7 linked regions of the Ovis aries genome follow. The protein of the gene in region 1 interacts with the protein of each later gene in a biochemical or structural test. Links are inferred from orthologs where the notes say so. Each region holds a gene or a part of one and is shown in the gene's direction. Other genes may lie near its edges. The genes, in order: PLCG1, GAB1, LAT, PDGFRA, FGFR2, WAS and BAG3.

Evidence for each region.
Region 2: the proteins of PLCG1 (region 1) and GAB1 form a complex in vitro, tested with the Homo sapiens proteins (2 studies listed by BioGRID and IntAct, with this or other methods). The link is inferred for Ovis aries from reciprocal best matches to the Homo sapiens genes PLCG1 and GAB1.
Region 3: the proteins of PLCG1 (region 1) and LAT form a complex in vitro, tested with the Homo sapiens proteins (2 studies listed by BioGRID and IntAct, with this or other methods). The link is inferred for Ovis aries from reciprocal best matches to the Homo sapiens genes PLCG1 and LAT.
Region 4: the proteins of PLCG1 (region 1) and PDGFRA form a complex in vitro, tested with the Homo sapiens proteins (2 studies listed by BioGRID, with this or other methods). The link is inferred for Ovis aries from reciprocal best matches to the Homo sapiens genes PLCG1 and PDGFRA.
Region 5: the proteins of PLCG1 (region 1) and FGFR2 form a complex in vitro, tested with the Homo sapiens proteins (2 studies listed by BioGRID and IntAct). The link is inferred for Ovis aries from reciprocal best matches to the Homo sapiens genes PLCG1 and FGFR2.
Region 6: the proteins of PLCG1 (region 1) and WAS form a complex in vitro, tested with the Homo sapiens proteins (2 studies listed by BioGRID). The link is inferred for Ovis aries from reciprocal best matches to the Homo sapiens genes PLCG1 and WAS.
Region 7: the proteins of PLCG1 (region 1) and BAG3 form a complex in vitro, tested with the Homo sapiens proteins (2 studies listed by BioGRID). The link is inferred for Ovis aries from reciprocal best matches to the Homo sapiens genes PLCG1 and BAG3.

What each region holds. Positions count from the first base shown.
Region 1 is NC_056066.1:69,782,716-69,787,014, forward strand, and holds the start of PLCG1 (1-phosphatidylinositol 4,5-bisphosphate phosphodiesterase gamma-1), read left to right. Parts: upstream 1-1,499; 5' UTR 1,500-1,558; exon of another isoform or gene 1,559-1,911; intron 1,912-2,017; 5' UTR 2,018-2,125; coding exon 2,126-2,342; intron 2,343-4,299. UniProt on the Homo sapiens protein: Mediates the production of the second messenger molecules diacylglycerol (DAG) and inositol 1,4,5-trisphosphate (IP3). Plays an important role in the regulation of intracellular signaling cascades.
Region 2 is NC_056070.1:14,499,040-14,502,539, reverse strand, and holds part of GAB1 (GRB2-associated-binding protein 1), read left to right. Parts: intron 1-883; coding exon 884-977; intron 978-2,217; coding exon 2,218-2,341; intron 2,342-3,500. UniProt on the Homo sapiens protein: Adapter protein that plays a role in intracellular signaling cascades triggered by activated receptor-type kinases. Plays a role in FGFR1 signaling. Probably involved in signaling by the epidermal growth factor receptor (EGFR) and the insulin receptor (INSR).
Region 3 is NC_056077.1:26,377,513-26,381,530, reverse strand, and holds the start of LAT (linker for activation of T-cells family member 1), read left to right. Parts: upstream 1-1,218; 5' UTR 1,219-1,528; coding exon 1,529-1,631; intron 1,632-1,747; coding exon 1,748-1,853; intron 1,854-1,979; coding exon 1,980-2,014; intron 2,015-2,270; coding exon 2,271-2,340; intron 2,341-2,460; coding exon 2,461-2,525; intron 2,526-2,616; coding exon 2,617-2,794; intron 2,795-2,864; coding exon 2,865-2,965; intron 2,966-4,018. Other genes in the region: SPNS1 (protein spinster homolog 1), read left to right, coding at 1-51, 331-425. UniProt on the Homo sapiens protein: Required for TCR (T-cell antigen receptor)- and pre-TCR-mediated signaling, both in mature T-cells and during their development.
Region 4 is NC_056059.1:70,434,933-70,438,911, forward strand, and holds the start of PDGFRA (platelet-derived growth factor receptor alpha), read left to right. Parts: upstream 1-1,179; 5' UTR 1,180-1,248; intron 1,249-2,714; 5' UTR 2,715-2,930; intron 2,931-3,979. UniProt on the Homo sapiens protein: Tyrosine-protein kinase that acts as a cell-surface receptor for PDGFA, PDGFB and PDGFC and plays an essential role in the regulation of embryonic development, cell proliferation, survival and chemotaxis.
Region 5 is NC_056075.1:40,990,030-40,993,529, reverse strand, and holds part of FGFR2 (fibroblast growth factor receptor 2), read left to right. Parts: intron 1-584; coding exon 585-722; intron 723-2,394; coding exon 2,395-2,500; intron 2,501-3,500. UniProt on the Homo sapiens protein: Tyrosine-protein kinase that acts as a cell-surface receptor for fibroblast growth factors and plays an essential role in the regulation of cell proliferation, differentiation, migration and apoptosis, and in the regulation of embryonic development.
Region 6 is NC_056080.1:56,408,888-56,412,900, reverse strand, and holds the start of WAS (actin nucleation-promoting factor WAS), read left to right. Parts: upstream 1-1,213; 5' UTR 1,214-1,242; coding exon 1,243-1,374; intron 1,375-1,727; coding exon 1,728-1,868; intron 1,869-2,990; coding exon 2,991-3,077; intron 3,078-3,179; coding exon 3,180-3,282; intron 3,283-3,386; coding exon 3,387-3,428; intron 3,429-3,521; coding exon 3,522-3,575; intron 3,576-4,013. UniProt on the Homo sapiens protein: Effector protein for Rho-type GTPases that regulates actin filament reorganization via its interaction with the Arp2/3 complex. Important for efficient actin polymerization. Possible regulator of lymphocyte and platelet function.
Region 7 is NC_056075.1:39,302,553-39,306,052, forward strand, and holds part of BAG3 (BAG family molecular chaperone regulator 3), read left to right. Parts: intron 1-2,857; coding exon 2,858-3,181; intron 3,182-3,500. UniProt on the Homo sapiens protein: Co-chaperone and adapter protein that connects different classes of molecular chaperones including heat shock proteins 70 (HSP70s), e.g. HSPA1A/HSP70 or HSPA8/HSC70, and small heat shock proteins (sHSPs), e.g. HSPB8.

The sequences.
Region 1 (4,299 bases):
TAACCAGGGAACTCCTTGGATCTTTCTCTAGCATCAGCTGGGTGCCCTGCTGGGCCTCTTACCTGTAAAATGCAGTATGCTGTCCTGCTTTGTCTGGCTCAACATCCGTCAGACAGGCTCTACTGTGACTGAAGGTGTCTTTAGCTTGGGCGGTGTTCTGTGACAGGGCAATTAGACGGCCCGGGGTGCGTCTAGGGAGTGGCTGTAGCAACACAAAGAGTACAGATTAATCGAATAATCACCAAAAGAACTTGTGCCTGGAGAATGGAATGAAAGGGAGGTGGTGAGAGATGAAGTGGGATAGAAAGGGGCCAGACCATGCTGGACCTGCTGGGCCAGGTAGGGGATTTTGTGTGCCATGGCAAGTTCTGGATGATTTGAGCCTGGAGGTAGGGAGTCAGGATTTAATTTCATTTTGAAGACCAGAGCATAGGGCCTTCCCTAGTGGTCCAATGGCTAAGACTGCACTCCCAACAAAGGGGGCCTGGGTTCGATCCCTGGTCAGGGAACTAGATCCCACAGCCCCCAACTAAAAGATCCTGCATGCTGCAACTAGGACCCGGTACAGCCAAATTTAAAAAGAAACAAACAAACTAGAGCATAGGGAATACATGCAGGCAAAACCAAGGAGGGTAAATAGTCTGGATGAGAGAAGATGGGCCTTGAGGTTGTGGGCAGAGCGGAGACATGGGACGGCAGACGGAATGGGACTTGACGGAGTGCTGTGGGGTTGAGGGAGAGAGAGAGAGGAACCAAGGCTGTCTCCATCGGTTTTAGCCCGAGCACCTTACCAGAGGCATGTTCTGAGAAACTGAAGACCATGGGAGAAGCAATTTGAAGAGAGATGTGAGATGTCTGTGCTACGTGGGGTTGTGGAACAGGTAACGGGATGCAGGGAGGGATAGAGCTTCGGCGCTCGGGTGCCTGAATTTGGCAGGGGGCGGGGGGCAGTGACGCTGAGAGGTCAGGCCGCCTTGGGAACTGACTCAGGACCCACCCCTGAGCAAGAGAAGTTGCTGAGGTGTCGAAAGGCAGCGGCCAGAGACCGAGGAGGAAAACAGGGATAGAGTCGGCCCGGGAAAACCAAAGCTCGGGAGAGCATTTGCAGGAATGGTGCGGAGCCGTAGGGCCTGAGTCCCCATCCTAGTCGCGTGGATACTCGCGGCGTGGGGGTGCGAAGTGTATGGCCAGGCCAAGACCACTGGAGGGCTCGCAGGGGATGCTCAGGCCTGTGGGCTACTCCGAATAACGGGACTCCCCACACACACCCGCGAGGCCACTTCGGCCGCAGGGCCAGGAAGATCGTGGGTCCGACGGTCGGAGGCGCTGCCGGCGGGGCCGCCCCCGGCTGCCCGGGGAAGGGAGGGGGGAGAGGCGGGACACTCAGACTGTCCGTCAGAGCCTGCCGACCAATCACCGGGTGGCCCCGCCCCCGCCCCGCCCTGGAGAGGACGCGCGGAGGACTCGCCTCCTCCTCCGCCGCCGCCGCCGCCGCCGCCGCCGCCGGTCTAAGGCGGCCCGGCCTGGCCTGGTTCCCTCAGCCGGGCAGCCCTCCCAGGTACCGGGTTTGACCGGCGGGCCCCGGGAGGCGCCCCGGGCCTGCACTTCTTTTCCCGGTGGCCGCGCGGGCGTCGCCCCGCTAGCGGGCTTCGGAAGGAGCCGCCGCGGCCGGGCCTGTGCGGGACGGTGGGCTGGGCAGCCGCCTGTGCGCGCGCGACAGACGGCCGGGCCGGCGCGAGGCTGCCGCGCGTGACGGGACCGGCCGTGGCAGCCGGGCTGTGTCCGGGGCGGCGCGAAGAGACCCCGCGGGGCCGTGGGCCCGGCTGGCGGACTGCGGGAGGCGCGCGCGCGCGTGCCCTGACGCGGGGCCTGCCCGGGGGGTCTCGGGGCGCAGGCGCGGCGGGCGGGGGTCCTCCCCACGGGCGCGCGGGCGCCTTTGTTCCCGGCGCGCGGGCCGGGGCGGGGCCTGCAGGACCGCCCCGCCCCCGCTCAGGCCCCGCCCCGTCTCCGCCCGCAGGAGCCGCCGCCGCCGGGGTCCGCTCGCCCGCCGCCTGCGCCGCCGCCGCCGCCGCCAGCTCGCTCCCGCCGGGCCTGCGCCGCCGCCGCCGCCCCCGGCACCCGAGCCATGGCGGGCGCCGCGTCCCCCTGCGCCAATGGCTGCGGGCCCGGCGCGCCCTCGGACGCCGAGGTGGTGCACCTCTGCCGCAGCCTCGAGGTGGGCACCGTCATGACTTTGTTCTACTCCAAGAAGTCGCAGCGGCCCGAGCGGAAGACCTTCCAGGTCAAGCTGGAGACGCGGCAGATCACGTGGAGCCGAGGCGCCGACAAGATCGAGGGGGCCAGTAAGTGCGCTCCCCCTCGCTGCACACCCCCGGCTCCCCGGGCCTGCTGCGCGGGCGCGCGCGCTCGGGCGGCGCGGGGTCTGCGCCCCGGCTTGCGCGCGCCCGGGGGCCGCCGCTGGAGAGACTCCGGCGAACTTTCGGGCCCCGCCCCCGCCTCGGCCAGGGTGGTCACCGGGGGCGGGGGGCATCCGGGTCCTCAGTCACCTGACAGGACACCCCCTCCCCCAGCAAGGGGGGGAGTGTTCCAGGCGCTTTGCCCAGAGGCCTAAAAATCCTAGCGAGTTGGAGACCAGCGGGGCCGGCGTCGGGTCCCCCGACACCCCGGGAGCGGTGTCGGCCGAGGCAGTGTCCTCTCCCCGGCAGCCGCGGAACCGGAGGCCAGACCAGATGCACCGTTTTTCCAAAAAGAGCAATCTGGTGCACCTCTGGGCCTCACGGCCGGGCTCCTACTTACAAAGGAACCTTTGGGTTCCCCAAGTAGAACTTAGGCAGCTGTTGGCGTAGGGCTGGTTTTGGAGCAGAGCCGGGCCTACTCATCTCTCTCTTGGGGCCAGGGAGGAAGGTGGTCTTGTTTGGTTTGGAAAAGCCCGAGAGGAGGCAGTGGATGTTTTTCCCGCCGCTTCTTTTGTCCTGAAACTGAATTTTGGAGGTCTGTGTGCGTGGGCAGACTCCCAAAGCCAGGGCAGGGAAAGAGGCCAGCCTTCCCCTTGTCCTTTGGAAGCACATTCTCCAGAGCTTGGCCCCAGAAAGCCCAGCCTCGCTGCTTCGTGTCAGGTACTCTTCAAGAGGACGCAGCCAAATTGGGGTCCAGCTCTTTGTGTCCTGCGTCCTGTGGCTGGAGGGAGCCAGGAGCGGCTACTATTTCCTGCCTCTTTGCTGTCCCAGACCTGACCTTGGCTGCTTCTGGGAAAGAGTGTGTTGGGGGATTTTGAAAAACCCCAGATCCTTCAGAGAGTGATTCCACTGAGTGCGTGCCTGTGCTGTGGCCGGATGGGCCCCCCAGCTCTGCCCTCCATTCGCCCACCTCCAAGTGTGAGATGATGTGTCTGCAACCCCAGGCTGTGGGTTGCTTCCTGCAAGAACCCCCTCTACCCCCACCCCCACCCCGAGACTGGAGTTAGAGCCAGGCTCAGAATTAGGACTGTGTAGAGGAAGAGGGTTCAGGAAGTGACACCCCCCAAGAGAAGGTCTTCCAGACCTTGGGTATGGCGTGTAGATGACTGAGGAGACGGGGAGGAAGGAAGGTCTTGTGGTGAGACAGCCATCCTCAGCCACACACTCCAGATCTCACACAGCTGCTGAACTTCCACACGACAGCCACCTTCCTCCGTGACCCCTCCTCGGGCCCTGGCAGCCTGCAGGAGAAAATGTTAGAGAATTTGAGAGGCTGGATTCCAGAGTGGAGGAAGGACATATCCTGCAGAGGACTGGAGGGACATCACCCTGGCGTCAGACTCCAGGCATGGCCCTTCCATGTGTCTGTGGATTCCCCGGGCTCTCCTGAATTGGTAGCAGCTGGCTGAGGTTCCCAGGTAGACTTCTCCTGGCTGAGAGGCTGTGTTTCACACCGTGCATGGGACCAGCAGGCAGTTGAAGTGCAGCCCAGCGGTTGAAGGCAAGGTTGGGTTTGAAGCCCGTATGTATTAGTTGTGTATCGCCCCCAGCCAGCTAGTTCTCTGAGCCTTAGTGTCACCATCTGTAAAGTGGGAGTAATAATATCTCCACCAAATGGGGTTATTCTAGGGGGATAAAGGAGAGGATTAATGTAAGACAATATACGTGGGCTTCAAATCCAACCTTGCCTTCAACTCCTGTGCTGCTGGATACGTTCTAAATGTTTAATAAATGTAAGCTGTTATTCATGACAACGGTGATAGACTATGACTGTCACTCTTAGACTGGGACTGTGTGGCTGCACAAAAGGGTGAGGGAGCAGGAAGGGAGGAGCACAGGGACC
Region 2 (3,500 bases), on another chromosome or scaffold:
AGCTAATAGTGTTGTACTTCTTTTTGCACATTTTCTGTATTCCTGGAATCTGAGTCTTACTTTGAGGGCAAAGAGCTCTGTGGTATATACTAGCAGAGTAGTTAATTCTTGCAGTAATTGATTGCAATAATGGGGTAAGTTAGTGAAGACCTCTTACAAATAAAGCTAATAAGAATATTAGCATTTATTTTTACTTAATTTAATAGAGGACATTGTTGGTTAAAAGAAGCTAAACATTTGAGGTAGTTAATTTTATGGCCTTTCTCAGATCTGAGTTTGAGTATAAAGACGTAATTATTGCTTTGTTCTATTTGGTTCCAGACTGGACCCGAATTAATTTCAAAACTTTAATCATTGATTCCTTTTTAAGTTTTTGATTTTAGCAAAGTGTTATGTTTATTGCTTTCGAAACATCATTTTGTATGTAAAGTTGCACAGCTCATGCTTCAGTGTGGATAATGAGGAACATTTTTACATAGAAAATTAAACCTCTGTGTTTGACGATATAACATTAGTAGAAAAAATAAAATAAGGAAATAATGAAAATTATAAATCAAATAACTCTGAAGGAATTGTGCCACATTACTCTTCTTCTCATTAAGTTTATAGTCATAAAATATGTACTTCAATTAAGAAGCAACATGTAATAATAGAGCTTTATTTAGACTTTCAGTAAACAGTCAGGAAATTATCTAATTTAGCCTTTGTCGCTAATTTTTTTAGCTGTGTAACCTTGGAGAAATCACATAACATCTGTGAACTTCTTTTCATGTGAAAACTAGCCAGTCCTAGGTGTACTCTGGCTATAGTAGAGGTGTAGAAAGAAGGTCATGTTTTCCAAATTTCTATGTACTAAAATCTCATTTTCTCTCTCTTGTTTCAGTCAAGCCAGCACCTTTAGAAATAAAACCTTTGCCAGAATGGGAAGAATTACAAGCCCCAGTTAGATCTCCCATCACTAGGAGTTTTGCTCGAGAGTAAGTCTTTATATAAAATACATAGCTCAATTGTTCTTTGTAATGGAAAGTACCTAAAACAGTGGTTCCCAGAGGATGGTCTGGGGAACCCCTCCCCTTTTGGGTTTCTGTGAAGTCAAAACTATTTCATTAATATACTAAGATGTCATTTGCTTCTCCACTCTCCTTCTCTCATGAGTGTACACTGGAGTTTTCCAGAGGTGGCTAATACTGGGCGATAACCATTGTGGCAGCTAAGAGAGTGTGCCTTTGTGTATGCCTGTGCTTAATTTTTTTTCTATTATTTGTAATATGGTGAATGTCAATAGATATCACCCTATAAACGAAAGTTCCTTGGGGTTCTCAATAATTTTTTAAGAATGTGAAAGGTTCATGAGGCTAGAAATTTCTGAGAACTACTGATCTGGAAACTATGGTAGTTTCTTGTGAGGATTATTTAATAAAGATTCATTTAAATATATACGTGGAAATAAAAAGAATGTACACAGTTACAAACCTGTGTTGATGTGTTCATATTTTATATGTATAAACAAGTTTTTTTAAAAATAAGAATGCTTAAATCTTCCTTTTTAAAGCTGTGACTTTCTATTTATCCCCCATATCACTAGCGATACTTTTTTTCTTTCTTTTTTTTTTGCTCTGCACAAGGCTATTAAATGCCCAGAAACATCCCTTTATGGGGAGATGTGAGTTCAGTCCCTGAGTTGGGAAGATCCCTTGAAGGAGGGCATGGCAACCCACTCCAGTATTCTTGCCCTAGAGAATCCCATGGACAGAGGAGCCTGGTGGGCCACAGTCCAGAGAGTCGCAAAGAGTGGGACATGGCTGAGCCGACCTAGCACAGCACAGCATCCCCTCACAGGGTGGGGGATCGCAGTAAGGAAGGGCAAGTAGGAGGTTCAGACTACTGGGTGTAACATAGGCTCAAGAATGTGTTGTACAACATGGAGAATAGAGCCAACATTTTGTAATAACTATAAATGGAAAGTAACCTTTCAAAGTTTTTTTTTTTAATATCTGTATAAGTTTCTCTTTAAATATCTGTTTACAAATAGCTATAAACACTAGATATGTGTTTGAATGTCTGCAATAAAGTGGACTATAGTAAATATGTATAGTAAATGATTACAAGCTTCAGTTCTTCTGGGAAGAATATGCCCTCTCTCTTATTCTTGCTGTGGAAGCGAGCTGAGAAACCTGGGTCAGGCTGTGTGTTTGTGACGACCCTCTCTGCCCTCAGCTCCTCCAGGTTCCCCCTGTCTCCCCGGCCGGATTCTGTGCACAGCACAACTTCAAGCAGCGACTCGCACGACAGTGAAGAGAATTACGTTCCGATGAACCCCAACCTATCCAGTGAAGACTCCGTGAGTAGCGTCTTCTCTTAACATCTCTCTTCCTCAGCAGCCCTTCTGAGTCGTTCGCGCTCAACCTTTCTTCCAGTTCATACACGTTACCCATCCACCTTTCTTTGTTTACTCCAGGAAAAAGGACTTTTTTTTTTTCTTTTGCTCTGTATGTATTTTAATTAATTCCATACTGGAGAGTGAGGAGTTTGAATAAGAAGTTAAGGAGAGTTTTTAAAATGCTTTTGAAAAGCAGATCATAAAGTCTAAAACCAATATCGGGTCAGAGGGTAATACTATATCTGTAAAGTAGATATAAGTTAGATAAAGATGATAAAAAATTTTCCAGTTATATTTCTTTTCATATGTACTTGATGTTTGAAACCATTCAAGAAAATGCGTTATACTGGAAGCATTTTATAATGCATTTCTCCAGATTCAAATCAGGGTGCTCAGGATGCTTTGTGTATTCATTTACACAAAGATCTAAAATCAAGCATTCATGAAATGAACCCTTCATGTTCCTTAAGGGTTGAAAATTAAGTTACGAAATTCACTTAATTAAGCACCTGAAATTCAAGTTATGGTACATCATTACTAATGACATATATTGTTTGTAACAATAACAAAAATATGTTTAATACTTGTATGTATTTTTTTCAAGAATTTTAGAAAAACAAAGCACTACTATTTTTTCTCTTTTTTTGGCCGTGACACATGGCATGCGGGATCTTAGTTCCCTGACTAAGGAACCAAACGCTTGCTCCCTGCGGTGGAAGTGCAAAGTCTTAGCCACTGGATCACCAGGGAAGTCCCAACTAATTTTTTTTTCTTTTAATTCACAGAACACCTCATAATAACTCCTAGAATCTTAGGGTTTTTCTAACTCTTTTGGGGAAACACTGTGTTAAAAACTAGAAGGCAGACACGGGCTGTTCCCAGTTGAGATTAGATAGGGAGCAAACAGACTTTTTTGTCGAGACATAGATTTTAACAATACTTAAGGATGAAAAAAATGCCAGTTCTATTAATTATTAGACAGAGCACAATTTAACTAGCAATCCTAAGAAATTCACTTTAGGAACAACTTACTTAGATTAAACGTGTACATCACATGAATTCAAGGGTTCTGTTCATAGCCTGCAGTGCTGTGAATAATTCTGTACATTTTCAGTTAGGG
Region 3 (4,018 bases), on another chromosome or scaffold:
CCGCCATCTTCATCGAGAGCGACCGCCGGCAGGCTCAGCTGCACGTGCAGGGTCGGTCGGGCCTCCCCTCTGTCAGTCCACAGTTCCCTGTCTAGCTTCATGATGCTGCCTGCTTGTCTGTCTGTCTGCCCGCCCAGCCCTGTGTACCTGGCCTCTCTCAGTCCTCAGCCCTCCCCTTCCTCGGCTTCAGGGCTGCCTGACCCATGAGCTCATGCCCTGCTGTGTGCCCATCAATGCTGCCCTGTCCATTTGCCACTGCTTGTTCGTCCCCTTCCTGGGCCTGTGTCTGTCTGTCCATCCAGCCCTGGCTCTGATTCTCTTCCCTGGCAGGTCTGTTGCCTGAAACCGGGCCCACCGATGACCGGATTGTGGTGCCCCAGCGAGGACGCTCCACCCGGGTCCCTGTGTCCAGTGTGCTTATCTGAGGGATCACCGCTTGCTATCTGCAGACCTATCACAGCTGGCCCTGGGCCCACCCCAGGAGGTGCCCAGGCCCCAACTCCTCGGCTAGCCCGTTTTCCGGGAGGGGCCTTGGGCCGTGTTCCAGCTCCCACACACTACATGGGTAGCCAAGTGGGGACACTGGGGGCTCGGGACGGGGGAGCCCCTGCCCCTGGAGCAGCCCTGGGGGCTCGGTGCTATTTGTAACTGAATAAAATTTGTAGCCAGAACCCCAAGTGCCTGCTGGAGTCTCTCTGGGTTAGGGACCTCTGATCTCTGGATGGTGGGGGATGCCCCCTCTCTACCCCCAGGGTCCCAGCGGCTGTCGGGTGACCCCCGTGGGCCCTGGGGCAAAGCCCTGTCCTTCTGGGCCGGTGAGCATTGGGGTGGAGTGAGCTGGCTTTGTGTGACCGTGAGTCATGCCCGTGTCTCCCCTAGAGCCCGCCCTCCGCAGGCCAGCCAGGGCGAGGTGGGGGTGGGCACACCCAGGGGCCCCTCAGAATTCCCGGTGTCGGAGCCTCTCTTTGCTGCCTCCGTGAGCCACAGCTGTGGAGGCCGCGGCCACTGACTGGCCTGGAAGCATCTTTCCCTCCTCACCCCCGCTATGAGTTGCCCCTTGCCAGGGAGACCAGCTGACCCTTCTGGAGGGCCCAGGGTGGCTCCTGAGGTGGCCTCCTCCCCCTCCTCACTGGCTGAGTGGGGGTGGGAAGGGGGCGGGTGCAGCTGGCTGAGCCCCGATGATTTCCTGCCCTCACCCGGCGCTCACCACAGCTTCCTGCCACAGGCAGGCAGGCGCTGAGGAGAGGCGGGCGCGGAGCGAGGGGCAGGTAGGGCTGGGGCACAGGGTCTGTGTAGGGGTGGCTGGTGCCCCAGACTCCAGCCCAGACCCTGGCCTGACCACCCTGGGGTCCAGGGTCTTCCAGAGCCAGCGCTGACACCCGCTCAGCCCAGCGAGGGGAGGGGATCCAGAGGAACCCCTGCCTTCAGGCTCTCAGCCGGCCGCCGGTACCCTTCCCGGCCTGGCCCTTGCCCGCTGCTTCTCTGTGTGGAGGGGTGTGCAGCGAGCAGCTGGGCCTGGTCCAAGCAGATGGAGGCGGTCAGCCTGCCTGTCTACGTGCTGGGGCCCCTGCTGCTGCCTCTCTTGGCCGTGTTGCTGATGGCTCTGTGTGTCCGTTGCCGGGAGCTGCCAGGTGAGTGGGTGCCAGTGGGTTGACCAGATGCCCAGACACACTGCTAGGGATCCTCACTCCATTCTCTGACCTCTTCCTTCCCTTTAACTGTCTGTAACTCTTTCTTGCACGCGGAGACGCTGAGAGCCCCATACTCCATCACCCTCTGCCCTCGTCACCCTCTTTTCCTGCCTCACGGGCCCTCTCTTCCCCAGGCTCATACGACACTGCCGTCTCCGATAGGTGAGTCTGCCTTGTCGACCCCGTTCGACTCCCTCAATGCCCCGTGTGGGGCTGGGCCCCTGGGGGCCTGGGGTGGGGTCCAGGGCCTCTCCCAGCTGCTGACCTGAGCTCTGTCTCTCCTGCCAGTTTGACCCCAAGTAGCATCATGATCAAACTGCCTCGTGAGTACATGAGTGTCCCCTCCCTTGGGTGCGGGGAGAGGGTCCCCTGGCCTGGGAGAGCGTGTGCTTTTGTTCATTTCCCCGCTGTGGCCGCCCACATGGCCTGAGCTGGGGGTGGGGAGGGAGATCGTGTCTGCCCGCCCAGGACTCTCCAGGGCCCTGGGGGTGGCAGGGGTCAGTCTGCCTTTCGAGGCCTTGTCCAGGGTAGGGGTGTGAGGTGTGGAGTCATTCCTTCAGCTTGGTCCTGTGTCCTCAGCCACACTCGTCCCACGACCATCGACCACTCCCTACCCGCTCCCGAGCCAGCCAGACCTGCTCCCCATCCCGTAAGTACCAAATCCCCTCTTTAACCCCTCACCTCCTTGGATTGGGGGCCTCTTGCCCTGTTGCAAGCCCTCTCCCCCTAGAGCCCCACCCTAGTATGACCTCTGACCTTTGACGCCCAGAAGGTCCCCGCAGCCCCTCGGAGGCTCCCACCGTATGGCGTCGTCCCGGCAGGACTCAGATAGCGGTAAGCCTGGAGCGGGACCCACAGGGCTGGGACCACTGGGTAAAGGCCCCCTCCGAGCTGACTCAGTCTCCCTCTTGCGTTCTCTCTGCAGCCAACAGCGTGGCCAGCTACGAGAACGAGGGTGTGACTGGGACCCCTGTGGCCCCGGCTGGGAGGCGGCTGAGACCCGTCCTGGGCTCCGCTGACCCTGTGTCGTTACCCCCAGAGGCAGCCTGTGAGGATGCGGATGAAGATGACTATGACGAAGACTATAACAATGAGGGCTACTTGTGAGTGGCCAGGTGGGAGGTGGGGGCCGAGGCCAGGGCTCCTCGCTCACCTGACCCTTGACTCCCGCAGGGTGGTGCTTCCTGACAGGGACCCGGCCACCAGCACTGGCAACGCCGTCTCACAGGCTCCTGCGCCCAGCAAACCCGGCCTCCGAGACAGCGCCTTCTCCAGTGAGTCGGCCGTCTGACCACTCCCTGCCCCTCCGTGCTGCGGCTCCTCGGTCTTCCCTCTCCTCCTGGATCCTTGCGCCCCTCCATCTTCTCGCTTCTCTCTTTCTAGCCCTCCTGTCCTTCAGCTAGGGGACTTCCGGCTCCGATCTTCTTTTCTTTTCTCTCCTCTTCCCTCTTGATCGTTTGCCTTTTTGTCTGCAAGATTTCCTTGACTCTATTCTTCTTTGGGCTCCGAGCTTTTGTCTTTCTTGTCCAAAAGCTCTTTCTTCATCTCTGAATATTCCTTTCTCAGAGCCTCCTCTCTTGTCTTATGAAGGTGATATCATCTTGCAGATCTCGAAGGATAGTGATGATCAGCTGTCTTTTTTGGGTTTCTTTGGAAAGTTTTCTTCTGCTTCCAGTGTTGTTTCAGTTTCCTTTGGGCTACTTTTCGCTCTTCGTTTTGGTTTCATCCTGCCTCTTGGAGGCTTTTATCAGTGTCTTGTGATCTTCAGTGTCCGTTACTCTTTTCCTTCTATGCTTGCTCTGTGCCATCGTGTCCACACCCTGGCTTAATTTGCCATCCGCATCATCCCTAACTCATGGCCTCTCTCTTGGGCCCCAAACCATCTGTCCAAGTGCTTATTTTCATTCATTCATTCACTCACTCATGTTCGTCCATCTACTCACACAATTCAGCCATCATACTTACTGGTTGCCCCTGAAATAATCACTGCTAATGAGTCTGAGTGAACTCCGGGATATGGTGATGAATAGGGAGGCCTGGCGTGCTGCGATTCATGGGGTTGCAAAAAGTCGGACACGACTGAGCGACTGAACTGAACTGAACTGAATGAGAAAAAGTCATGATTAAAGCAGCTCGCATTACTGAGGACCTCATACATTCGCAGCTAAAGAGTTTTATGTGTATTTGTTGTTGTTATCTAGTCACTAAGTCATGTCTGACTCTTTTGCAACCCTGTGGACTGTAGCCCAGCAGGCTCCTCTGTCCACGGGATTTCCCAGGCAAGAATCCTAGAGCGTGTTGCCATTTCCTTCTCTGGGGGATCTTCC
Region 4 (3,979 bases), on another chromosome or scaffold:
ATCATTAGCCCTTGCCTTACTCCTGGGACTTCCTGAGGACAAGGCCCTTTCTTCAGTCAAGCTGACCTAAACAGAGCCAGCCCTCCTGCCCCTCCCAAGCCACAGCTGTGAGTTGGAAAGCTGGATGCTGAGGCCCCTAATAAAGAGCAGACCTCCCAATCTCCTCGATCCCTCCCTCTCCCCTCACACGGCTTTCAAATTAAAAGTAACTAAAAGCTAAAGGTCTAACAGAAGGAGAGGGGAGTAGGTGGTGCAAAACCCTCTCCATATTGAGAAAGCCGTGCTCTCTCCCTAGGAAGAGGGTATCCAAGAATCCAGACCCAGGGGGGGTCTAGTCCCACCATGTCTTTCTCAGCTCTGGGGAGCTTAGTCCTTCCCTGGGCTCGTCAGAGTGGGAAACAGAGCTCACAGTCTATGGTCCTCGGGTCACAAAGCAGGCTCAAGTGTTTGGAACCCTAGCCCTAGCAGAGGCGCGGCTGGTCTCCAGCCACGGGGAATGGCTTTGGACTTCTCTTTGGAGACAAAGCTTTGAAGAGAAAGCCTCTAAGAACCCAGAAGAGACGCTGCACCCTTAGTCAGCCACCAGCAAGAAGATGAGGTGTTTAGGGGGACCCAGAGAGAACTGTCGCCCCAAGTTACACGAGCCTGTCTGGACCCTCTTTCTCCTCTTTTAATAAGACTTGGGCCTCTGTATTCTGAGCTGCAGAGACTAGAGCAAGCTTCCAAACCTCAGCTGGGGCAGACCCGAGGCAAGGGCGGGAACCCCACCATCCGCAAGCTTCCTCGGAGCCTTCCTCACTAAGGTCCCTTGCCGGCCCAGGGAGGTGTCTCTTGCAGGCTCAGACAAGAATTGAAAGAGGGTGGGAAATGGGACAGTTAGCGCCTCCCTCCGCCCCCCAGCCACCAAATGGCCCTTTATTTTCAATTCAGAAAGTTAGGGGGGAAAAAAAAAAAGCTAGAAGTGCGTCCCTCCCTCACCACAAACCCCCAACTTCATTTGAAAGGACCAACTGCGACTTGGCTTAAAGGTGATTTTCGCTACTATCGTCTTTGATAACTGCTGTAATCAGAGGTCTTCCAAAGCCCAAGTACCTTCTGAATTCTCCGAGGAAAGTAGAACTGGGGGGTGGAGCTGGAGCGCCGGGAAGAAGGAGAAGAGAAACAGAAAGCCAACTCAGCGGGGAAACGCCCACGAAACTCAAAGGTGTGACCCGGGGCTGCTGCCCGTCGCGGTCGCCCGGGAGTTGGGTAGGCGAGCCGGGGAGAGATTTTGGTTTTGTTTTCAGGGATCATTTGGATTTGGTTTTAAAAACTTCGGGTGGGGGGCTCTTTTTGATGGCTGGCTCTGCTCCATCTCTTGCTTCCAATTTCATTGTCGCCTGAGGGCCTAGATGCGCAAGGCCACGCCAGAACACCACGCTCCCCTAACTTCCCCTAACGTGGCTCATCTCTCGAGTTGGGCCTCCTTCCCAGAGGGTCGCAGCCGCCTCGACTGCGGGTTTGAGGGAAAAACCCTCATTCGTAATTCCATGATGATCTCTCAAGGGAAAAACACAAGAGGTGAAAATCAAAATCCGGGTTGAGGCTGGGACATTCGCTCAAGTACCCAAGCCGGCGAGGGTCACTCCTCCGGGAGCTCAGGGTGGTGGGTCCCCCGCAACGCCCCGGGCAGAAGCAGACAGAGAAGAGACCTCTCAGTTCGCCTCGGCCAGGAGGCATTTCTTGCCCGCTGCGGCTCCTGGACCACCCAGGACCCCGGGCATCGAGGGAGCAATCTGAAAGGATCTTAGAACAACACTGGGAGAGGGAAACTCGGCTCGCCCCACCTCTCCGCGACGCCCCTGTTGACAGACGCGCGCAGTCAATCCGCTGAACCTCGGCGGAGGGCGGACGGCAAGATTCAAACCCGCCTATGAGCAGTGGGAGGGGCGGGTGGGCAGAACTCATTTTAAGGAGCTAACCGCCTCTTTTTGTGGGCCTCCAGCCCCGAGGTTGCTCCCGACTAGTGGGTTTATTTTGCTTTTGCTGGGGAGGCAGATGTTGACCTCCCTCTATCTGCTCGGCCCAGGCTCGGGGAAATCTCCCAACCATTTGCTTCCCTTGCGCCACCCCCCACCGGTGTTCCATCCCCGGAGTCAGCTCCCCAGGCCTTTAAACCTTCTGGAATGTCACACATGGAAACCTTTAGCAAATGTTTGTTAATGATCATAACAAAGGCATCATTCAAATTAGGCAGGTAATTACTACCAGAAGGACGACTGAGTGCTTCCTTGCTCATCCGTTCTCTCTGTTTTAAACTCGCGAGGAGTTATGGCCCGAAGACACCCCGGCCCAGTCCACTTTTCGGGTCCCTTTAAGCGTCTCTGAAAGGAACTGTGAAGTTACCATTTGTGGGCGGGGAGAGCAGAGGCCTGCGTCCCGGAGATCCCGGCTTGACCAGGCTGGCAATGTCGTAGCAGCAAAGTAGGCCTTACTGGGTAGGCCCTGCGCCCTGCCTCGCCTCCTACCCTCTCGAGTCCGTGGTATAAAAATTTGCATCTCAGCTGGATTTTATTATTAGCATGAAATCCAGCACCCGCTTTCCCCCTATTATTCCGCACTCCGATTTTGGGGGGTTCTTTAGTCCCCGTTCGTTATCTACAAACATTACGGTATCCTGTTAGCATTCCGAACAAGGGGCTGTTCATATATTTGCCTTCAATGATTTCCTGAAGGAACATGTGGAAGTAATAGTGAGCAGTGCAGTCATCCGAACTGAAGATGCACGGGAGGCGGTTGCGCAGAAGGACTGGAGGAATGAGGCCCCTAGCCCAGCCTCAGGCGTCTTCACGAACCTGACACCCCAGGAGCCGGTCGCAGTTCCATACAGCACCCCTTCGAGTACTTCTCTGTGAACATCCCCTGCAGGCTGCTCCGTGTCCACTCTCTAAGTAAGGGAGAAGGTGATGGCTGTCCCACATTCCAGCCTAAACCAGGCCGCCCTGGCCACTGTCAAGTGTGTGTGTGGGGGGGGGGGGGGGGGGCAGAGTCGGGGGTGGTGGTAAAGGTTGAGCCCTCCACCCAACAAGAGAATTCGAAATTAGAGGAGGTGGGGAAGGCAATCGCGCTCCCCTCCCCCGCCCTCGCTGGGAAGCCCCACTCTGCCCAGGTCTGGTTCCTGGAGCGTCAGCGCCCCCTTTCTTTCGCGAGCAGGATCGCCCTCTCCCGGCTTAGTCTCCTGCCTGGGGCCCCAGGGCTAGGGTTGGGGGCTCCCTTCTTATCCCTAGTGTACCCGTACGGCCCGATCCACGCGTCGGGAGAGGGTGTGGGGAGAGTCAAATTGTACCCTCCCCCTGAACGCGGAGGTAGCAGGCTGGTTGTAGAAGATTCCGCAGACGATCAAGCCTGAGCCTTTTTGTGTGCGTGATAGAAGCCAGGACAACCTCGCCCAGATAACCATGAAAACAAAGGCAAGACAAGATAAGTGCTTTAAGAGAGTAAAGGTCGTTCTGTCGGAGAAAGTTCCAAACCTACGGCAGACCCTCAACTCTTTGTACCCTACTTCAAATCTGTCTTTGGACAAAATCAAACCAAAGCAAACCCCCTGCCCGCCCAAGAAAAAAAACCACCCATCATCTTCATATTAGACTCAACAGCTTGCCTAATCCCATTAAAGGATTAGCAACTATACGGCACTTTCCCTAAAAGACCCCAGGTTCAAGTCGACGCAACGGCTCGGAGACCTCTCCCGACGGCCGGGATTCTGGGTGGGTTAGGGGTTTCTACAGAAGGGACACTTCTTGACTCCAGATTTATATTCTCTTTGGGCATTAACTGCAATTTTACGTGTTCCTTTTCTTCCTTTCAAAGAAAATACAAAGCAACATAGCAGTGTAGGAAATTGTCCCCCGAAATCAAGAGGCAAACTCATTTTGGAAATGATGGGCAGTATGTATTTTCACGAACCTCTTTCTCGGCAGAGCATCAACACCTCCCCCTC
Region 5 (3,500 bases), on another chromosome or scaffold:
TTAAAAAGTCAATTGAGCTACTCTTACTTGTGTGGGCGGGAGGGTTTCTGGGGCAGGCATGGAGCCTGTGGCACTGCCACTGGTTCTCTTCAGCAGTCCTAGAAGGAGAGCCTTATGGTTTCCAGTTTTGCAGTGAGCTGCTTCTCTTGCTGTATACAAAACTGAAGTCAGTTTCATTTCTGAAACTCACCCTAATAGAATCAGTGAGGGGGTATTTCCAGCTTAGAGGCTCATGTTGATAACACTGCATAAAGACAAAGAGTTTTATTTGAAAGTGGTGGAAGGAGGAAGAAAGAACCAAATCTCCATCCCTTGTGTCCCCTTTCCACCCTCCCCAAAGAGTGATGGTTTACCATCACTTATCTGTTGTCTGCTGATGGAAAATTCCATCAGAATATCTCCTCATCGTCATCTGGGGATGCTTTCTGGGGACAGGAAGGGGCAGGTTGGATGAACTGCAGGAGGGCCCCGGTCATTTGTCTTTGAATGTAAGAAGTGTGGGGGAGTTTGTTTTCTTAACTGGGTGTGTTTAGGTTTCTGTGATTCAGATGGGTTACTAATGCTGTTTTCTCCCCTCTTTGCAGCTGGTCCTTCGGGGTGTTAATGTGGGAGATCTTCACGTTAGGGGGCTCGCCCTACCCAGGGATTCCCGTGGAGGAACTTTTTAAGCTGCTTAAGGAAGGACATAGGATGGACAAGCCAGCAAACTGCACCAACGAACTGTAAGGGCTCTTGTCTCTCCTGATGCCCCAGGGAACCCACCACGCCACTAACGCTTCTCCTGGCTGGTTCCGTTTCCTAAGGTCCCCAGGTTTCTAAATATGTCCTGAGAAAAAGAATTGCTGAGACTTCCTGGGCTCAGTCCCAGAACTGAGATAGAGAGTTCCACGGACAGGCCTGACTGTCCAAAAGAAAGAGCATCCTTCTGGGGTGGTATGGAGTGAGCTTTACACCACTGAGGTGTTGGGTGCTTGGCCGAGGGCTCCTAGCCTTCCACAGTGAGCCCCGCAGTAATCTTCCTGGGCCACTGTGCTATCCTCGCTGTTCTTCAGAGTGAGAGGAAGATACATCAAGCCTTCCCTCATGCACAAGCCTGAGACCCATGGGGCTGCCTCCATTTCTTATGAGTGGTCTGTGGCCTCTGCACTGTGAGTAGAGAGTGGGTGCTTCTGCAGCCTCTTTGTGACCTATGCTATTATAGATGGATTTCGACCACAGCCCTCAGGGTGAATGAACTAGTATCTGCTTACCTATATTTTACCCATATTTCAGTGCAGAGGATTAAAAATTTGTCCAGGTGCTAATATAGTCTGACTGTTAATCCTGATCTGACTATAAAACTGGTTTCGAGCAAAATCTACCCTGTACTTTAAGTGGAATTACTTGTGTTGGTGACAAGCGTCTTGTGCAGTAAAATCAGTGCTTTGAAAAGGAGTCTCTCCTCCCAGCTCCCAGTGTCAACTAAGAAGAGGGATTGTTCCAGAGACTGCGGTCTCTTGGGTATTGTTTCATGGGGATTTTATATCAGTAATCCCATGAGTGCTTTTCGGTGCACAGTGGGCATCAGATGAATGGTCACATTTTATAGTATATTATATAAAGCCATTTATTGTGCTCCTTGTCATTCCTGGGGCTTTTTCTACTATAGAGGGTCTGTCGAAACCCATTGTCAAGATAAGGCCTGGGAGCGTAGGCCTGTCCAGGAGTTAATCAGGAAGTGAAGGCATAGCTCAGTGATGACAGATTAATTCATAAGAACCTTGCCTTAATGTTGTGCTTTTCAAATTTCAGTTTTTCAAAACTGAGGAACCTTTGTCCAGAGTGTCGGGCAGATAACAGTAGAGCAGCTTTGGTCCTGGCAGGGGCGTGTGGGGAGGGAAGACTGGATTCCCACCCACCCCTACCTGGCTCTTCCCACAGTGTCCAGAAGTATGGAAATGTGATGCCCTGTTATAAGTCACTGCCACAGGGATACCAGAAGTCAACCAGGAAAACAGATAGAAGTGTCTTTTTGGGTTTTTGGCCATACCGTATTGCTTGTGAGATCTTAGTTCCTTGGTTAGGGATTGAACCTCAATCCTTGGTGGTGAAAGCGCTCAGTCCTAACCACTGGACCACCAGGGAATTCCCAGAAGTGTCTTTTTTGATGGTGTAGATACTATCCTAAGCATTTTGGATAAAGTGATGTTTTTGTAAATCAAAGTGCCTTTCAGAGGAACTGAGCAGTGCCTCTTTTGGCAGAGTGGATCACCACCTGCCAGTTCAGTTGCTAGGGAAGTTCTGATACGTTTTCATAATTGAGGATATCTCTCTATACTGACTGTTAAGAGTGGCTTATAGCCACACCCCTAGTCCTCAGGGAAGTAACTCACCAAGGAAATCTATCTCTTCCAGGTATATGATGATGAGAGACTGCTGGCATGCAGTACCCTCACAGAGACCCACCTTCAAGCAGTTGGTAGAAGACTTGGATCGAATTCTCACACTCACAACCAACGAGGTAAGAGCCTCCTTCCAGAAGACAAGGGTCCTTGCTGGGAATCCCCTGTACAGCTTTTGAAATGCAGCCTCCCCAGTGGGAGTCTGGAGTACAGTTTATCATTGTTCCCGGGCTTGGATAGACTGAAACCATGTTCCTCCCAAACCCTGACTTTTCTTGGAACTTCATCTTGAGAGTTCCAACTCACAAAACCAGACACAAGGGCCCCACCTGAGGCTGCCCCTCGCTGTGGCATGTGGGTGGTGGGTCCGTGGTGTGTGTATGTAGAAAGATGGGGAAGGAGGAAAAAAATGTCCAAAACCACAGCATTTGGATTTGAGAGGGAAGGAGCTGGGGTTTCTGTGCTGGTTGGATTCCTTGTCCTGCTCATTAGTGTGAAGGCTGCTGGTCATTACTCTGAGGGCTGCTGGTCATTACTCTGAGGGCTGCTGATGGTCCCTTACCAATGAACTTGCCGGGATGAAGTGAAGTTGTGCCATTCTAGCTTCTATATAATGCAGGACATAGACCTACATGACCCTGTGTGGTCATAGTGTAAACATACACAGAGTCACTTCTTTAATGAGTGACTTACAAGATTTTTAAGTGAAAACTTCTGATAAAATATATTTTTTCTATAAAATAGTTATAACCTATAACTACAAAAGAAACCCTCTTCTGTCACTCACTGTCCACACTCAGCCATGTCAGTGGCTACTTCACCATGCAGAGAGAGTAATCTCTGGTTGTAGAAAGAAAGTGATGTGAGCAGGGAAGGTGATGAACCCATCAAAGGCAGAAAAAACCCCACAACAGAGAGAAATAGTGAATGAATTAGAGATATATAATGAGGATATGGAGCAGTGTTCCTTTAGACAGGGGGGGAAATCTCCCGCAATTGTCTTAATAACAACAGAAAAGGTTAAAACTGCCTAAACATTTTAGAAGGGAAAGAATACATTTATTTTAAAATAATGTATTTAATAGTTTCAGATTGATTTTTTTTTTTTAATAATAAAAT
Region 6 (4,013 bases), on another chromosome or scaffold:
TGGAGAATCCCTTGGACAGAGGAGCCTGGCAGGCTACAGTCCAAAGGGTCACAAAGAGTTAGACACAACTGAAGCGACTTAGCATGCGCACACACACGCAGAGTAACACAATAGAATGCTATATAGCAGTAACAACTACTGCTACTGGCAAATATGAATCTTAGTAACAGAGCGGGCGGTGGAGCATCTTGATGAAAAGTGCACACTGACCAACCTGCCTGGCATGCTAGCTTGGAGCTACTGGGGAAATCATGTAACCACTCTGGGCCTCAGTTTCCCTCCATCAAATGGCAAAAATAGCGTGTTTCCCCCAGGCCAATAGGAGGGTTTATACGAGTCAATATTTACAAAGAGGTCAGAAGAGTGCCTGGCACACATGTTCAGTGCTACATGAATATTAGTTAGATAAAAATAGAATGTTGAGGGACTTCCCTGGTGGTCCAGTGGTTAAGAATCTGCCTTCCAATGCAGGAGACGTGAGTTTGATCCCTGGTTGAGGAACTCAGATCTGACATGCCAAGGGGCAACTAAGCACTCGCATCACAAGAGAATCCCAAACACCACAAGGAGAAGCCCTTGCACTGCAACAAGAGAAGCCCATGTATCGCAAAGAGCCTAAATAAGTAAATAAAATAAAATATAGAGTATTGAGTGGGGGAAAAGAAGAGACTCCAAAGATTACACACTTTCAAAAGTTCAGAAGCAACAGCAACTAAATGCGATGGTGTGGTAGGGATGGGGAAGTTGAGCCAGGTGTGAGCGAGTTGGGGTCTCAGGAGAGAGGTGGGGTCCCAGGTGCTTGCTATGTAATTAAAGGAAAATCTGTACTGCAATAACCCTTCAGCACCAGAGCCTTGGACCTTGGGCCCAGAGTAACTGGATGCTTTGGGGAGGAAGAAGGCCGCTCAGCCCATGACTGCCCCCCGTGGCACTGCAGAAATGCTGCAGTGGCCTATCCCTCACTGCCAGCCAACCAAAGGGAGGAGGGTCCAAGAAGTCAGAGGGAGATGGGCCCCAGAGAGTAAGAAAGGAGGACAAAAGCTGGTCCAAAAGATGGCTCTAACCAGTCAAATGGAGGAGGGCCTCAGTCTAAAGGAGGAGGCCAGGCCTACCGAGGGGCCCCTAGAGGACTTGTTTCCCTTGTGGTTTTTTTGCACTTCCTGTTCCCCCACTCACTGCGGAAGTTCCTCTTCTTACCCTGCACTCAGAGCCCAGCCGGAGAGGACAAGGGCAGGAGGCACCATGAGTGGGGGCCCTTCAGGAGGCAGGCCTGGGGGCCGCGGAGGACAAGGGGTTCAGCAAAACATCCCGTCCACCCTCCTCCAGGACCATGAGAACCAACAACTCTTTGAGATGCTCGGACGAAAGTGCTGGGTGAGCTGGGGACCTTCTGGCCCTCCTTGTCTCCCTCTCCTCTTCTCCTCCTCCTCTTCGTCCTCTTCATCTTTCCCATCCTCTCCCTCTCCTCCTTTCCTCCCCTTCCTCTCTCCTCATCTTTCCCATCCTCCTCTCCTTCTCCTCCTCTTCCTCTCCATCATCTCCTTTCAGAATCCACTTACCCCCATTCACCAATCCCAGGAAGAACTCAATGTTCATTCACTTTCCCTCTGGTTGTGGCTCTTCCTTTGGAGCCATGATGGCCACAGGCAAGAAAGGGCCAGGACTGGTTCCCAGACCCTCTGGATGCCCCTGACTGCATTCCAACGAGTCCTACTCTCCCCTCTCAGACGCTGGCCACTGCGGTTGTTCAGCTGTACCTGGCGCTGCCCCCTGGAGCCGAGCACTGGACCAAGGGACACTGTGGAGCTGTGTGCTTCGTGAAGGATAACCCCAAGAAGTCTTACTTCATCCGCCTTTATGGCCTTCAGGTGATCCCCGCCCCACCACTGGACAGACAATCCAGTTTTCAACCCATAAACCCAGATCTGTGTCCATAGCCCTGAGCCCTCAGACGGATCAGTGAACCCCCTGAGCTCTAGAACCAAAGACTTTATCCAGATGCCAGCCTCTGGTTTGTCTTTCTAAGCCTGTGATGACTGACCCCAGAGTCTTTGTGTCAAGATCTGTAACCCCCAATATTAGTATACCCCCTAAATCTAATCTGTTCCACAAACTCCATATATATATATATATACACACACACACACATATACTATATTTTTACCTGAACCTCATGTCTATTCGAAACTCCACATTTTAGGTCTCAGAAACCTCCCATCGGTACTCCTGAACTCCAGAATTTTGCCTAGCTTCTAAGTCAAAAATATGTTCCACAAATCCCAAACCTAAGTATGCCATTGAATCTTCAACTCCAAATCTGTCCTTTTAAGCCCACAGCATTGGATCCCAGAACTTCTATATGAAAACTCCTAATCACCTAAGTATTGCGGTAGCTCATAAGTCAAAAACCTATTCCACAAACCCTTAACCTAAATCCTCCAAGCATAAACCCCCAATTCATCCCATTAAACTGATAAAGATAGACCCAGTAGAACCGCATCAAGATCCCAGGGTCATCAAATATTGACCAAACTCCTAATTTATAACTCTGCTCTCCAAATCTCAAATTGGCTCAACCCCCTCCAAAAACCCTTCCCAAGTCTGTATTTCTGAACCTCAAATCTCAATCCCAACTCCTAATACTGGAACCCTACCTGACCTAATGAAGGTCCCCATATAAGGGGGGGATTTGGGACAGATTCTCTGAATGGACTCAGTTTCCTAGAACTAGAGTCCCAAATCCTCAAATTCAAGTCCCCTTATTCCACATCTGGACCCCAAATCCAAGTTTCTCGCTGAAGGGTCTGACTCCCATACTGTACCCTAATCCTCCACATCTGACTCCTAGATTCCCAGCTCCTCAGTTCTGAGCTGGAATTCTCCAAATCAGATTTTGGGGCCCCAAATTTGTATACCATGCTCCCTATCTGGAAAACAGAGGCCCTCCACCCAGGGTGTGCCTCGGTGCCAGTGTGCTCCCCCCTCTCCAGGCTGGCCGGCTGCTGTGGGAACAGGAGCTGTACTCACAGCTGGTCTACTCTGCTCCCACCCCCTTTTTCCACACCTTTGCTGGAGATGTAAGTGACCACCTAAACCCTGGGCCTCAGTTGGGGTGCAAGGAGGAGAGGGGAAAGGTGTGGGGAGGTCTGGAAGGCAGCTGACCCCCCAGGCATGTGCAGGACTGCCAAGCGGGGCTGAACTTTGCAGACGAGGGCGAGGCCCAGGCCTTCCGGAACCTGGTGCAGGAGAAGATACAAAAACGGAATCAGAGGCAAAGCGGGGGTAAGAAGGCCTTGGGGAAGGGAAAGAGGTTGAGAAGAAGTGAGGGCAAGAGTGGGGAGCTGGAAAAGCCCCTCTCCTGATTCTGATTTCCTGTCTCTCCACAGACAGGCGCCAGCTCCCGCCTCCACCAGTGCCAGCCAGTGAAGGTGAGTCCTCTAGTGCAAGGAGGAGTAATAAGGGGCTAGCGCAGAAAACTGAGGCAGGGTTGTGATAGTTCTCTATCCATTCCATCTTCCCAGAGAGAAGAGGAGGGCTCCCACCCCTGCCCCCGCACCCAGGTGGAGACCAAGGGGGTGAGTGCTGAATATTTCCTGTGTCTCTGGGTGGGCAGGTATCACCAGCCCCAGAGACACCGGGCTAGCTGCTGGGCCTGTGGGGAAAATGGGTGACTGGGCCATTGACCCATTTACCTACCAACCAGAGCATAAGAGAGACAGGAAGGCGGTTGGGAGAATCAGTGTGTTAGATGGTCATGGAAGGAGTGGGAGAATGAATAGATACACAGGTGGGGCGTGGGCAGATAAATGAGTAGATGGGTGGGTGCAGTGATAAATAGGTGAATGAATAGGTGGATAGATGTGTGGGTGGATGGATTGGTGGTGGACAGATGGTTAAATGGGGGCACGAATTGATGGGAGGATGTAGATGTACAGGTGGGTGTATAGATGTAGGTGAATGGGTATGTGGGTGAGTGGATAAATAGATGGATGGATGATTGAGTAAATCAATGA
Region 7 (3,500 bases), on another chromosome or scaffold:
AAATTTTCGTTCAAGGAGAAGTGTTAGTTTTCTAGTCCATAGACGTGAGATGACCTCAAGCAGTGTTTTCTAAACAAAGCCTGCCACACACCCCCGCCGCCACCCACCAGAGTATCAGGGCGCCTGCCTTCTTTTAGACACGACAATCATGAAGAGATGCATGGGGTTTTTATGAAACGGCATAAATGAGCTGTTTGTTCACAAGGAACCGGAAGTGCAGGCCGAAGATCTATAGGAAAGCAGCCTCTGGGCCCCTCCCAGCCTCCCTTTTTTCCTGCTTGGCCCCTGACGCCCCCGACCCGGCCTACAGCGACCAGGCTTCCCTCCGCTGCCCCAAGACCCAGGCCAGGTATTGGCTGTGCTCTCACAGCCCCAGGGCAGGCGGAACTGCTCCTCTGCCTCCTCCCCTTCTTCCTTCCTTTTTCTTCCCTTTCCATTTTCAACTGAGGCACAAAATATATTCGGCGAGATGCATAAAATGTATTGGCAGGCCCGCCCTCGGACCTTCTGGATCCAGGGGCTTCCCCCAGGAGTGGCCAGGCCTCACTCAGCCAGGCCTCTCTAAGGCTTCCAGGCCCCGGAGGCTCTGAGGTGGAGGCACGGCTAACAGCAGGGTGGTGGGGGGTGGCTGCCCTCAGGGGTTCAGCCTGGGTGGACTGAGGCAGGAGATGGGCAGCGTGGGGGCTCCAGAGACGACGAGACTGTGAGAAACCGCTCTCATACATGGGTGTACACTCATTTATCTCCACCACCCAGAGAGAGAGAACTTCTCCATCTCCTCAGAGGGTCCCTTCCCAGACGACTACCATTTCCTCCAGGTGTGTCCACCTTCCTGACTCCGGTTACCACTGGTTAACTGAGTCCTTCAGATTTGATTCCTTTGATCCCTGGGCGTCTTGAGTTGAAGCATCCTGTGCCCGTTTAAGAAGGGAATGTCTTTCAGCCCCCTGGGCAAACCCCTCGCCATGGGCACTCGTAACAGCTCACTACAGACCTGTGAAGTGGGTGTTGCTAACTCCATGTTCTAGCAAAGGGGATTAAGGCTCCGAGAGGTGAAGAGACTTACCCCCAATGAAAGAATGGTTACTAACAGAGGTAAGAAAGAACGGGAGCCCTCTTTAGGAAACCCCACCCTACTAGAGAAGCCCAGGTGGGCCCCTGTGCTCTCCAGGCGGTCGTCCTGTTTGTTCCACGCGGCCCTGGCCGGCAGGGATTGAGCCTTGCTGGTTGTGAACCATCGTACCCAGTAGCTTGGGAGCAGGCTGTTCACCAGGGGCCAGCCAGCGGACGAGGGCTGCTAACCTGCCCATCTCTGCTCTAGTGCGTGGCCAGGAGGAGGCCAGCAGGGACACCGCCCCCCGCACTTGTCCAGGCTCCGCTCCAGGCTGGAGGGATGGTGCCCCAGGGCGAGGACGAGGTGCCTAGCCGGCCTGTGATGAGTCAGCACCCAGCAGCACGGGCCTCCTTCAGCGCTGCTGCTGCCTTCCTTCTGGTGCCCGTCTCGTGGCAGGAATGCGCTTCTGAATGTGACGCCTGGACCCACTCCCTGCTCTTGGATGACCCGAGAGTTAAGCAGGCTAAAATAATGCCGCCACCCTGAGCACGTGGGTATTCTAATCTGAGAGTACCGCCTGTCTGCCGATGTCCCCAAGGACACGGCAACACTCGGGCCTCTCCGAAGTGCTGGGAGGCCCACTGGGGTGGCGAGCTCAGCAGGAGGCCAGAGAGAGGTTCACAGGTCTGAAAGATCTAAGGTCCAGGGCTTGCCCTCCTTGTGACCAGCTTCGCCCCAGCGGGAATAGAGCCTCAAGCCTTCTGGTGTTTGCCATTCAGGGGGATGCCTCGTAAGGAGGCATAATAGCTTGTCCACTTGGATCCATAGAAGTGGCACGAATCCTCAGCCCCCTCCTCTGTGAAAGGACCCTCTAGTGCTCAGGAGATGGTCAGGACAGAAAGCCGCAGGGGTCCCTGGCTTCAGTTGCCCAGCCTTTGCTTGGTGAGGAGTGACATTGCCTGGTGAGTGACTGGCCAGCCTTGTTGTCTGAAACAGGATCTTTCTCTGTGGTACATCTGGAACTTGGCCTTCTCAAGGGTCCCAAAATAGCCAGGCCACTGAAGAGAGAACTTCATGAGAGGACGTAGGAGGGACCCCAGCCGCTCCTCGCCAAGCAGGCTTTGTTGGCATCACAAGACCAGCACAACTAATCCCCGGGTTTTGTTCTCATCCTGTGCTTCTTCTGCATTCCTCGGGTATCTCCCTTTCTTGCCGCTTGTTCTGAAAATATTCCTGAGGAGGCTGCCTGCCCGCCGCTGCCCCTTCTCTGCAGATTTCTGAGCTGTAGCCTGTGTCGAGGGTCCCCCGCGAGTCTGCGTTGTCAGGAAATGTGAGGACCGTTTAGGAAGCCGAGATGCCGGCTGTAATCCCCTTAGCGAGTTGGCATTGAATCCTCCTAGCATCTTCTGATCTGGGTCTCTGAAGGTTTGGGAGGCTGTCGGGGACTCCGCTGTATGCAAGGCTGCCTTGTCATCCAGAACAAAAACCTGTTACCAGCTGGGGAAACTGGGACTTCTCCTCTGCGCCACAGATAACCTTGCTCGTCTCTTTCTTTTTCTTGATGCTTCTCATTCTTAAACTGCTGGGCCAGCAGCAGCTTCAGCAAGGGAGGAGGGGTCTGGAAGAAGTAGGGGATCGGGGGAGGTACCCACAGTTTCTGTGCTCAGCTGTCCTTGCTCCTGGCTGGCACCGTGGGGCCCAGAGTCACTCTGAAAGATCAGAGCATGTGGCATTATGCTTTCTCCTCCTCAGGGCTGTTTCCTTCTCAGTTTCTAACAGGTCTGTGTCTCCTCTCACTTTTAGGAAACCGCATCCTCTGCAAATGGGCCTTCGCGGGAGGGCCCCAGGCTGCTGCCCACTAGAGAAGGTCATGCCGTGTACCCTCAGCTCCGGCCAGGCTACATTCCCATCCCCGTCCTCCATGAAGGCGCCCCGAGCCGGCCGCACCCTGTCTTTGCCTACTCCCAGCCCGGGACACAGCGCTTCCAAACCGAGGCTGCTGCAGCAGCTCCCCCGAGATCCCAGTCACCCCTGCGGGGTGTGGCGGAAGCGAGCCAGCCGGATAAACCGAGTGCACCAGTGGCAGCTGCTGCAACGGCCCAGCCTCCAGCTTCCCATGGACCCGAGGTAAGGAGAGGCCTGGCTCACAGGCCGATATGACCGTGACCTGTGTGGGCAGGGGGAGGGATGGCGGGGAGCTGGGTTTCATGCTTCCTGGGCTGCCCCAGACCACAGATGACACCAGACCCTCATGACAGCTCCGTGAAATGTGGGGTATCGGGGCCTGGCCGGCATCACACAGCAAAGATAGCTTGCTGACAGCCCCATGTCCCCCCAGCATTTCACAGGCTGGTTTTTCTGATGAGCAGAGATTGTGGTTTGTTTCTGAAGCTCAGGAACTGGGGCTCAAGAAGGGGTAAACAGCTTGGTCCAAAAGCATAAAGTC